3 linked regions of the Canis lupus familiaris genome follow. The protein of the gene in region 2 binds, or shares a complex with, the protein of the main gene of each other region. Links are inferred from orthologs where the notes say so. Each region holds a gene or a part of one and is shown on either strand. Other genes may lie near its edges.

What was found. Proteins that work in one complex are often made in the same cells at the same time.
Region 1: the proteins of KLHL12 (region 2) and PEF1 are in contact, whole or in part, in a crystal structure (PDB 8RBH), measured with the Homo sapiens proteins. The link is inferred for Canis lupus familiaris from reciprocal best matches to the Homo sapiens genes KLHL12 and PEF1. Residues at the interface, in NP_067646.1 of Homo sapiens: Phe289, Gln293, Arg320, Tyr321, Leu371, Glu417, Tyr434, Ile439, Phe481, His486, Cys511, Tyr512, Tyr528, Leu533, Cys558; in NP_036524.1 of Homo sapiens: Gly15, Gln16, Ala17, Pro18, Gly19, Ala20, Pro21, Pro22.
Region 3: the proteins of KLHL12 (region 2) and PLEKHA4 are in contact, whole or in part, in a crystal structure (PDB 8OIO), measured with the Homo sapiens proteins. The link is inferred for Canis lupus familiaris from reciprocal best matches to the Homo sapiens genes KLHL12 and PLEKHA4. Residues at the interface, in NP_067646.1 of Homo sapiens: Phe289, Arg320, Glu417, Tyr434, Ile439, Phe481, His486, Cys511, Tyr512, Tyr528, Leu533, Cys558; in NP_065955.2 of Homo sapiens: Pro177, Gly178, Gly179, Pro180.

The regions. Positions count from the first base shown.
Region 1 is NC_049223.1:68,875,895-68,879,394, forward strand, and holds part of PEF1 (peflin), read left to right. Parts: intron 1-293; coding exon 294-449; intron 450-897; coding exon 898-1,041; intron 1,042-2,710; coding exon 2,711-2,940; 3' UTR 2,941-3,500. UniProt on the Homo sapiens protein: Calcium-binding protein that acts as an adapter that bridges unrelated proteins or stabilizes weak protein-protein complexes in response to calcium.
Region 2 is NC_049228.1:385,584-389,790, forward strand, and holds the start of KLHL12 (kelch-like protein 12), read left to right. Parts: upstream 1-1,407; 5' UTR 1,408-1,554; intron 1,555-1,855; exon of another isoform or gene 1,856-1,971; intron 1,972-3,441; 5' UTR 3,442-3,480; coding exon 3,481-3,675; intron 3,676-4,207. UniProt on the Homo sapiens protein: Substrate-specific adapter of a BCR (BTB-CUL3-RBX1) E3 ubiquitin ligase complex that acts as a negative regulator of Wnt signaling pathway and ER-Golgi transport.
Region 3 is NC_049222.1:108,168,850-108,172,349, forward strand, and holds part of PLEKHA4 (pleckstrin homology domain-containing family A member 4), read left to right. Parts: intron 1-683; coding exon 684-756; intron 757-871; coding exon 872-972; intron 973-1,129; coding exon 1,130-1,239; intron 1,240-1,788; coding exon 1,789-2,004; intron 2,005-2,372; coding exon 2,373-2,652; intron 2,653-3,500. UniProt on the Homo sapiens protein: Binds specifically to phosphatidylinositol 3-phosphate (PtdIns3P), but not to other phosphoinositides.

The sequences.
Region 1 (3,500 bases), on a different chromosome or scaffold from region 2:
TTCCTTAGAAACTTAAGATCAAAGAGAGAAATGACTGAAACACTGTAGGAAAATCCCAGCAGATTCACAGAATAGAAGCCAGATACAAATACTCATAGCGTTTACATCCAAGGTCCTCTTCCATCAGAGCAAGGCTGTTGGCTTGATGGAAGGCAGGGTAGGTGGACTTGTGAGGCTTTGTGGGTAAGGGATAACTGTCCCCAGGGAGGCACTGGGCCTGGTCCTCCCAGCATGTCTTTGGATTGGCCTTGAGACCTGCCTCTGACTCCTCTGGTTTGCATCCCTTTGTGCAGGTGGCATTCCTCCCAATGTGGATCCTGAGGCTTACTCCTGGTTCCAGTCAGTGGACTCCGATCACAGTGGCTACATCTCCATCAAGGAGCTGAAGCAGGCTCTGGTCAACTCCAACTGGTCCTCTTTCAATGACGAGACATGCCTCATGATGATTAGTAAGTCCTAGCCCTTCCCCATGGGCTTGGGGGGGGGGGAGAGCTCCCTACTATCTGACGGTGGGTGGGCAGCCATTTGGAGGAGAAATCTTTCAGGCAGGAATTTGGGTTCAAGGTGAAATCCTCTAGAAGGAGAGCTCTTTCCCTTTGATTTTTTTCTCAAGTTCCAGACCTTGTGGAGTCACAGGCTCACTTTTCCGCTCTGCAGAATGGGACTCCCTGCATTGGTGGCAGATGGCATGGAGGGAGTCAGCTGCCAGGCCTGCAGAGAAACTGCAGTTCTGGAAGGGCTAGGGCTGAGAGTGGCCCAGGTGGGGGCTGGTCCGCACTTGACGAGAGTATGTCTCAGGTCCAGGCATCTGGGCCCCAGGCCTGAGGTTCTGGGGAGTCTCCTACTCTGGCCCTCAGTCTCGAAGTTTTTCTTCCCTCCATTCCTTCTCTCCCCAAGACATGTTTGACAAGACGAAGTCAGGCCGCATCGACGTCTATGGTTTCTCAGCCCTGTGGAAGTTCATCCAGCAGTGGAAGAACCTCTTCCAGCAGTATGACCGGGACCGCTCAGGCTCCATTAGCCACACGGAACTGCAGCAAGGTGGGGACCATGGTAGGGACCCTGGACAGGCAAAGCTGGACTTCTTTGTTTGCTCTCTGTGACAGGGAAGGGGGTTCCTCTAGCTTCTGACTACCAGCTGTCCATGTGCTGTCCTCAACACAGGCCCACTCCGCATCCATTCTGTGATCTGGCTGGGGCACTGAGCCAAGATCCAGGGGAAGGGAGCACCTGGTTCCAGGATGAGGCCTGCACTCCCTTGTGATGGTCCTCCTGGCTCTGCTAGGTGAGACAGACCCAGCCGGAAAGGAGCCTCGGGGATGGGAACTCAGCAGCCCAGGGGACCTGGAAGTCAGCATGTGGGGCTCATGGGGCTCTTTCCTCTCTAGTTGCTAGCATAAAGAATGGAAAGAGCCCTGTATAGGGACTCAGAAAGGTGGTTTCTGTTGCCAGCTCTGCTAGAAGGCAGTTTCCTTCCCAACTCTGGGACCGAGATCACACTAAAAGTTGCAGTAGACCAAGATGACCTGAGGCCATAGCTCCAGGTCTGGTTCCAATACTGACTTGAGAAGATGGGTGGTTAGTGGGGTGATAAGAATCTGACGGGGAGCTTTGCCACCTGGGAGGGAGAAAGGGCTCTCCAGAGAACCCGGCCCCTTGCCCTGGCTGTGGATTTCAGTGAGACTAAGTGGGGGTGGGGGTGAGCTCACCGTGGCTGCACCCATTGAGGGGAAAGGACATGACCTGTACTGATCACCTCCTCTTTTGCCCAGTCCCGTTACAGATATTGGTGAGAGTGATACTATCACAACAAAATTTATATTTACTGACTGCTTGTTGTGTCAACACAAGTAAGCACTTCATTCACTCTCCCCGTGTGATAGCTACTGTCTGTTCTTCCCCATTCTTAGGTGAGGGATCTCTTACTATTGCCCTTTTACAGATGAGAGAACCGAGGCCGAGTTTAGGCGACTTGCCTCAGGGCCACAGAGCAAAAGGGGAGCTTTTAGCCTGGGCTGGTAGATACACGGAGAGGAAGAAAGGAAGCCTCCCACCCAGGTGGAGGGACAGAGGAGCACGAAGGCTGTGACCTTGGAATTGCCCAGCAGCCTTTCCTAGGACATGATGATGATTTTATTTTTAACAAGTAACACTGAGTGCTTATTATGTATCAAGCACTATGCCAAGTGCTTCACAGAATAACCTCCTTTAATCCTTACTAGAACCTACAAACTAAGTCTCATCCTCATTTTAGAGATGATAAGATGGAGGATTAGCAAGGTTAAGCAACTTGCCCAAGGGGCTGTGTTGACTCCAGAGCAGGCCTATCATGTCTGCCTCTGGGCCACACTGCCTCTGATGTCTGCCCTGGGCAGGGGGCTCCCTGGGGGCTCAGGCTTCCTTCTCTAGTGCGGATGAGTCACAGATGAGCATGGCTAGCCCTCTGTCATTCTGGGATCCTATGGGCCTGATTAAACAGACAGTAATGGAGATTTGGAGAAAGGGATTGGGGCCTTCCAGCTAAGGGGAGCATCCAGAGAGAGCCCCTCTTGGGCTCCTGCCGTCTCTGACAGACCCCAGGGACTTCTGTCTCCTCTGTTCTGGTGCGTGTCTCCTCACAGTCCCCTGCACTGCCGTGCTCCCCAGAGCTGGCTGATGGCGGTGCTCAAGGCAAGGTTTTGTGTCTGCTCTGTGTGCCCCTCCTCTGCAGCTCTGTCCCAGATGGGCTACAACCTGAGCCCCCAGTTCACCCAGCTCCTGGTCTCCCGCTACTGCCCACGCTCCGCCAACCCTGCCATGCAGCTAGACCGCTTCATCCAGGTGTGCACCCAGCTGCAGGTGCTGACCGAGGCCTTCAGGGAGAAGGACACAGCCGTGCAGGGCAACATTCGGCTCAGCTTCGAGGACTTCGTCACCATGACAGCTTCTCGGATGCTATGATGCAGCCCATCTGGAGAGAGTGGGTGTACTGGGGACCTTTCCTGGCTCCTGAGGGTTGGAGAGGCATGTGGGCCTCTCCTCTTTTCCTGCCCCTCCTAGAAAAAGATCCTTGCCTGATGCAGCACTGTTTCCAAAGAGGGCTGGGAATCCCGTGTCACAGTCAACCAAATAACAGGGACCTGGGCTGAAGCCACACAGGTAGTGGCCTGACCTAAGAGAGGACTGGAAGCTGAATGTCCTTAGAGTCCTGAGTATCTAAATGGCCCAGCCTTATGCCAGGAGCAGGAGATGCCAGTCACTGCAGGGGAGTTAGTGTCTGGTCAGCTGGGCTCTAGCCTGTAGCTTTTCCTTCTGCGCCCTGACACCAGTGGTAGTCGTCATCAGCCTTTTGCTGTTAGCACTTGAGCTCCCTCACGCATCTCATCTTGTCAGATGAATCCAGTTTCTCCAAAGTGGAAGCTAACCAAGCATGAGAGAGGTTTGTCTGCAGGACCAAGCGGCTTGGATCCCACCAACCCCATGCCCCAAATCCATGTGTATTGACTTCTGGCTGCCTGGGT
Region 2 (4,207 bases):
TCCGGGACTCCGGGGTCACGCCCTGGGCCAGAAGGCAGACACTCAACCACTGAGCCACCCAGGCATCCCTGTCAAGATCTTTTTTAAAAAATATTTATTTTCGAGAGAGTACCTGCACACAACAGGAGTGAAGGGGGAACAGCAGCAGACTCCTTACTGAGCAGGGAGCCCAAGGTGGAGTTCAGTCTCACGACCGTGAGATCACTACCTGAGCGGAAACCAAGAGTCCGTGTCTCAACCAACTGAGCCACCCAGGTGCCCCAATCAGGGATGCTGTAGGATCAGAGAGGTATGATATGAAACATGGAAACACTATGTAAAATTAGATTGCTACCCACTTGGCTATCATTTTTAAAAAAAATTTTTTTTTGGCTATCATTTTATTATCCATAAATCAAAGGCTCTGCAAAGGAAAACAGTACCATGGTTCTCCCTTCTGCACATCTGTTACCAGTAGCCACTGCCGTCTGGAAGCAGATGATCTGCGGACATGTTGCCGGGTCAGTGGGTATCCTAACCTCTGTCACGGTGTCTACATCATACCCCTCCGTTCATCTCACGTAGGCATTTGATCATCTCCACACCATGAGAAGAGTGGGCATGATACAACATCTTTAGAAACCACTTTCATGCAACTTGTTTTGTTATTAGCTAATGTTAATTTCGTACTGTGCCTAGCTTATCGATTAAACTTCATTTGCAGGTATAAGAAAAAACAGCATAAATAGTATTCAGTGTTCTGCATGGTTTCAGGCATCCCCTGGGGGCCTAGTGAAGGGGCAACTGCTGTATAATTAAGCATAATTAGTTTGGACATTGACAGAAGTTGAATCGAGGAGCCCCATTGCCCTTTGAAGCACTAAGGTAACTGCCAGAGTGGATTCGAAGCAAAATTCCTGAAGTGGACACTCCGCACCCAGGAGCTGGTGAAAAGTCGCCAGAAGACAAAGGGGAAATGATGGATGACTCCTGGGATCCTCGGCGCTCCCCCTCACGGCGCCCAACACTGGGGACCCTAAACTCCCTCCACTTGGTCGTCCAGGTGCGGGTGGTGCAGGTGGCGGAGAACCACCTCAAGGGGATGACAGGCCCACTGTGATGCCGAGAACGCCGAGGTCCGTGGGTCGCAGGGCTCGGGATTCTCGCCGCTGCCGTGGCCCACGGGGCAAGGCCGCTGTGGTGAAGCACCTGGAGGCGCCCGCGGGTTTCCTCGAGGTGCGAGGGCTCCGGGACACCGGGCAGGTAACAGTCCCTGCAGCAACCTGCGCCTCCGCAGCGGGATGCTCCCGCGGCCCCGCCCCCGGGCGCCCGGAGGTCACGTGGCGCCGTCTGCTCACGTGACGCGGCCGGGGCGGGGCCTCGCGCTGCATTGCGTCATCACGCCGCGCGGCCGCGGAGCGCCGAGCCCGGGCGACCACGGTGACGGCTCCGGAGCCTGCGGGTGGGGGCGGCGGCGGCGCCTGGGCTCCTCCTGAGCCGCCTGCTGGCCCCGCGCCCCTCGGGGTCCCCGCGGGCGGGGGACGGGCCCGGCGAGCCCTCGTGGCTGGAGCCGAGGTGAGTCGGCGCGGCTGTGCCCCACCCCCCCGCCCGGCCGTCCTCTCCCCCGGGGTGGGACGCGCGGGCGCCGGCGGCGGAGGGAGGCCTGCGGCCGGGTTCCTCCCCTTCTCCGCCTGGGCGCCTCCCCCGGACCTTCCGTGGAGCCCCTGCCGGATGTTAGGGTGAGGGTGACCGGCGAGGCCGGGGCGCGAGGGGCGGGAACCGCAGCAGGAAGCCTGCCCTGCGCCCCGGTGACCGCGGTGGGACGCCCAAGCCGTGGACCCCGGGCCCGGCCGAGCCCAGGAGCCTGCCCAGGTGCGTGCCCTGGTGCCTGCCCTGGTTCCTGCCCAGGAGCCTGCCCAGGTGCCTCCCCAGGAGCCTGCCCTGGTGCCTGCCCACGAGCCTGCCCTGGTGCCTGCCCACGAGCCTGCCCAGGTGAGCTTTCCCGCAATCGGGCGTCCGTGCAGGCTCCTGTCCCATCTCCGGGGCCACGAGTAAGTAGGCTCCAGGACAGTCTCTTCGGAAACTGCCACAGGCTTCGGTGGATCAGCTCTTACCCTGCGACATGGATGTTGCAGGCTGTCGGGGAGGCCATGCAGGGCGCTCGTGGGATGCTGTGCTGACATAGGGTTAGGGGAGGGGAGCACTCAGGACCTTGTGTGTGCTACTCCGAAATGATGGGTGCGAGTCGTGGACCCGTGAAGATCATACTCTGATTTTTTTTTTCTTGGATTATTTCAGAAAGTTTTAGATTCCAGATGAGACTCTCTTAATAACCATCCCATTTTATTCCCCCAGAAATTGTTCCTTGAAACAAAAAAAAAAAAAAAAGTGTCACTAAAAGCCTGTCAACAAAGTAAAAAGTACATTGGTGTTTTTTTTTTTAATATATGTTACTGAGTTTATTTAATTGATGCATACAAGTGAACTTTGCAAGCGACTGGGTATGGCAGTAAAATTAGTAATGGAGTTTTAATAAGTTTCTGTCCTAGTAGTTAGGCTCTTAGTTTCAGTATAGGAGAATTCCTACCGCACGTTTACTAGTAACATATTGGGGGAAGGCCCTTCCGCAGAAAAGCTTCGAGAACTTAATCACGTGAAAGTCCATAGGTAAGCTTGCAGTGTCTCCATTATTCAGCGTATCATTTTAAGAAGAAATCCAGGTATATTTGGAAGTTATAATTTTGCATACTTCTTTCGAAAAAAAGTACACTTTCACTGACTCTGGCCTTTATCGCTCTAAGTCAAACAATTTTTCTTTTCTTGCATTTGATTTCTAAGTAATAACTCCTGTGGTAGGAAAAAATATATAAAACAAGGCTATTTTCTAAATACTTGTCTACTTAATCTACTCAAGGATATTAAATAATAGTGATAATCACACCTTTAGGAAATTTTGGGGTTTTTAAAAATATTTTATTTATTCATGAAAGACACAGAGAGAGGGGGGAGCAAAGAGACACAAGCAGAGGGAGAAGCAGGCATGCAGGAGCCCGAGTGGGACTCAATCCCAGGTCTCCAGGATCAGGCCCTGGGCTGAAGTTGGCGCTAAACCACTGAGCCACCCGGGCTGCCCAAGTTTTATGTTTTCATTTTATCATTTGACATGACAGCATTGTGAAGCTATGCAAGATATGTGTGGTTTCTATTTACAATAGTTGAGTGTTGATCGTAATAAATGTCAAGTGTTAGGGGCGCTCCATATTAGAATTCAGAGGAAGAGGTTGTGTTTACTTGGGATAGTTAGTGGCTGGATTGTTGCGAGAAGACCAGTAATAGGCGTACCCTCTACTTGCATTTGGGTCTGAGGAAGCGTCCTTAATTATGTAGCTTAATTGTGTGGAATATGTTTAGTTCTCCTAGTCCTTCAAGCGAGCTCTGGGTTTTTTCCTCTTGTACTTGCAGAATCCAAGGACCCCTTTCATTCTTTCTCCATATTGCTTGATGGGAGGCATTATGGCCCCCAAAGACATAATGACAAATACTCATGCTAAATCCATCCTCAATTCAATGAACTCTCTCCGGAAGAGCAATACCCTCTGCGATGTGACTTTGAGAGTAGAGCAGAAAGACTTCCCCGCACATCGAATTGTGCTAGCTGCCTGTAGTGATTACTTCTGCGCCATGTTCACTAGTGAGGTAAGTGGTAAGTTACCAGCTTGCAAATGGAACTCACACTTGTAACCTTATAGTTGTCTCATTTCACTGAATGAAATAGTAGAAATTTGATGTAGTAGTGAATTCCTATGGTATATGGTGGGTTAGTGGGCGGAGTCTGGTCCAAATCTGCCTTTTGACTGTGTCTTATTTTCCCCATCTCTAAGTCAAGGGTGATAGCAGTATGCGATCACACACGGTTATTGTGACAGTTCTTTGAGAAAACCACATCTGAAGTATTTAGAACAGTGTCTGGCATGTGGTAAAACACAAACGTCAGCTACTAGATTTTACTTATTTCTAAAAATTGTTTTGCTGTTTTTTTTTTTTCTCCTTCTAAAATCAAATATTTTTAAGTGAATACTAGGGGGATAAAGGGAAGGGGAGGAGAGAAGATGCAGTCCTCATCCAACTCCACCGAACAGTAGATGAAGAAAATCAACATTTGTTCTACCCATGTAGATTTCAGATGGGAGGAGGACTTAATGACTTCATGACTGTGTAGGCGTGTGAA
Region 3 (3,500 bases), on a different chromosome or scaffold from region 2:
TTCCTGCCTATGTGTTGTATAGTAGCTCATGTCAACCTTCCAGTAACTTCCCAATCCCCTATTAACTCAAGTATCTAGCCAGGAGATGACTAGTCTAATGGCATAGTTTGACAGGGGTGGAGCTAGGAGACCAACTCAGGTCTGACTGTGTCCAGAATCTGTGTGAGCTCAGCCACCACACTCTAGCTTCCAGCTCTCCAGCTCAATCTATTGCATCAGACATGTGTCTGTTCCTCTCCTCTCTCTGGGTTTCTCTGTCTCCAGGTGTCACTGTCTTGTATTGTCTTTCTTTTCTCTTTTCTTTTCTTTTCTTTTCTTTTCTTTTCTTTTCTTTTCTTTTCTTTTCTTTTCTTTCTTTCTTTCTTTCTTTCTTTCTTTCTTTCTTTCTTTCTTTCTTTCTTTCTTTCTTTCTTTCTTTCTTATTTATTTGAGAGAGAGAGAGATAGCCAGAGAGCACAAGTGGGGAGGGGCAGTGGCGGAGAGAGGGAGAAGCAGACTCCCCACTGAGCAGGGAACCCATGTGGGGCTGGATCCCAGGACCCCAGGATCATGACCTGAGCCCAAGATAGACTCTTAACCGACTGAGCCACCCAGGTGCCCCCCTGGGTGTCACCGTCTGCCTTTCCACATTTCCTCTCCGCACTCCCCCTCTACTCAGGCCTCCTCTCTCTCTGTTTCCCCAGGACAGCTCGGGGCTGCGGCTCTGGAAACGCCGCTGGTTCGTCCTCTCCGGCCATTGCCTCTTCTATTACAAGGGTCAGTGCCCTGACTGGGGAGGGATGGACGCCCCCTCCCCCCCCCCCCCGCCCTTTCCCTTAGCCTCCTGGCCTTCAGATCCTGCGCTGTCGCTGACCCCAGCCCTCTTCTGCAGACAGCCGCGAGGAGAGCGTCCTGGGCAGCGTCCTGCTCCCTAGCTACAGTATCAGGCCCGATGGCCCAGGGGCCCCGCGAGGGCGGCGCTTCACCTTCACCGTGAGTCTGTCCATCCCCCGCGGGCACTAAGGCGCTAGGCCGTGGGGGCGGCCGGGGGAGCATTCATTATTGGAGCTAAAAAGGCTTGACCAGGGTCCACGGCATCCTCCTTTTTGGAGGGCCCGGGCGTCCGGTCCCCAGCTCTCTCTCCCCGCAGGCTGAGCACCCAGGCATGAGGACCTATGTTCTGGCCGCCGACACGCTGGAGGACCTGCGGGGCTGGCTGAGGGCGCTGGGCCGGGCTTCTCGCGCGGAGGGGGACGACGGGTGGGTCCAGGTCCTGGCCACGTCCCAGACCTCCACCTCCAATCTGAGCCCATCTAACCATCCCACAGCCCCTCCCCTTTACGCCAATCACACTTCTGGCTAAGGAGACGCCGCCCTTCAGGCCCCACCTCCAGGGACCTTCCTGTCTTCCAATCAGCAAAAAGTCTTTCTCTTCTAGACACCGCCCACCGTTTCGTCAGGCCCCACCCCTTCATCAAAATTCCACACTCTCTGATTGGCTCCCTCAGAAGTCTCCACCCCCGAGGCTGCCACCTAAGGAATGTCAAATATAAGAGGAAAGTCCCGACTTTCCCCAAGTTTCAGGCTGGAGACTCTGGGACTGGATGGACCTTGTAGCCCTGACACTAGTCACTTCCACACGAAGGGCCTCGATTTTCCCATCTGCGAAGTGGGAACAACAATTTACAGTGCACCACCTACCCTTTCTTTTATTCTGTGTAGGTTCCCGTGTGCTAATCCACGAAATGGGAATGAGGGCTGGTTATGAGGTACAAAGGAGTGATGTCTTTTTCTGTGCTCACTCATTAGTGGACGACCCAGGTCACCTGCACGTCCCCAGCCTGGAGAGGGCCCTGGAGGCCCCGGTGGTCCCCCAGAGGTGACCAGAGGGGAAGAAAGACACGGCTTAGAGTCACCAGAGGTGGCTCGGCTCTCCAGAGGTCGTGGAGGACCCGGACTGCTCACTCCCAGCCCCATAGCTGATCTCCAGTCTGGACCTCGGATCCGGAGGACCAGGAGCCCGGAGTGAGTTGAGGGAGTCTGGGTTCAGAAGGTTCTACAGGGCTGAGCGTCAGAGGAAAAGCTATGTTGAGGGCATGCCTAAGAGGTGGGGACTGGGTCTGCTTCGGGATATGGCTTAGTGCTTTCTCCCTTTAGTGGATGTGAGTCGCTAGAGTTCTCATGGGGTCGGAACCCATAGGGGGAATATCCTAAGGAGGAGATGCCACAAAGGGAGAAATTATTATTCAGTATCTGGGTAATAGAGTGGGGTTCTACTGTAGAGGGACAGTGAGACACACTGAAAGGGGATGTGTCCCCATGCGGCTGACTGGGTGGGTAGTGGGGAAGGGGGCTCTAGGTCACCCAGTTCCCCTATTCTCTCCTCCCAACAGCCTGTTCACACCCCTCTCCCGCCCTCCCTCCCCTCTGAGCCTCCCCCGGCCCCGTTCTGCTCCTGTACGCAGACCCCCTCCATCCTCTGGTGACATAGCACCTCTCGCCAGACCCCATACCCCTCTGAGTCGCATCGATGTCCGGCCTCCCCTGGATTGGCCTCTCCAGCGCCAAACACTGTCCAGGCCACCCACCCCCCGGCGAGGACCCTCCTCTGAGGCTGGGGGAGGAAGGCCCCCCAGGAGTCCCCAGCACTGGAGTCAGGAGGCCAGAACACAGGTGAGCAGCGAGGTAATGGTGAAGGGGACTGCATTTCCCATATGGCCATGGTCTGGTCTGCAGGCCATGGTCCCCTGGGCACCATGGGGATTGTGGTTCAACATAATCAGGGCTGGGGGCAGCCCCGGTGGCTCAGCGGTTTAGTGCCTGCCTTTGGCCCAGGGCCTGATCCTGGAGACGGGGGATGGAGTCCCACGTCGGGCTCCCTGCATGGAGCCTGCTTCTCCCTCTGCCTGTGTCTCGGCCTCTCTCTCTCTCTGTGTCTCTCATTCATAAATAAAATTAAAAAAATCTTAAAAAAAAAACCACAACATAATCAGGGCTGGGTTCAGATGGGAGGGCAAGTGGACTTCATCTCCCATCAGCCCTCAGGGCTGTCTTTTCAGCCCAGTCTCTGACCATTACACCTTAAGTATTATGGGAGTTGTAGTCCAGAATACTGTCATTCCAAGACCATCCTGGGAGACGTGGTGTGATTGCATCCGTTTTGTGTCTCCAGTTTATCTTTCCAAGATGGTTACCTGCTATTTCCTCTGAGCATCATGGAACTGTAGCCCAGAATATCCACAGTTAACCACAAATGTGAGAGTAGACTGCAACTTTCATCAGCCTCTGGGGCAATTTTGCCAGGCTTGTCCATTTATTATCATCCTATGTGTTCCCACAGTGGTACATAGCTGGAGAACAAGTAGTTGAAGTTCAGAGACCCAGTTTTTTTTTTTTTTTTAAGGTTTTATTTATTTATTCATGAGAGACGCACAGAGAGAGGTAGAGACACAGGCAGAGGGAGAAGCAGGCTTCACACAAGGGAGCCCGATGTGGGACTCGATCCCGGGGCCCCAGGATCA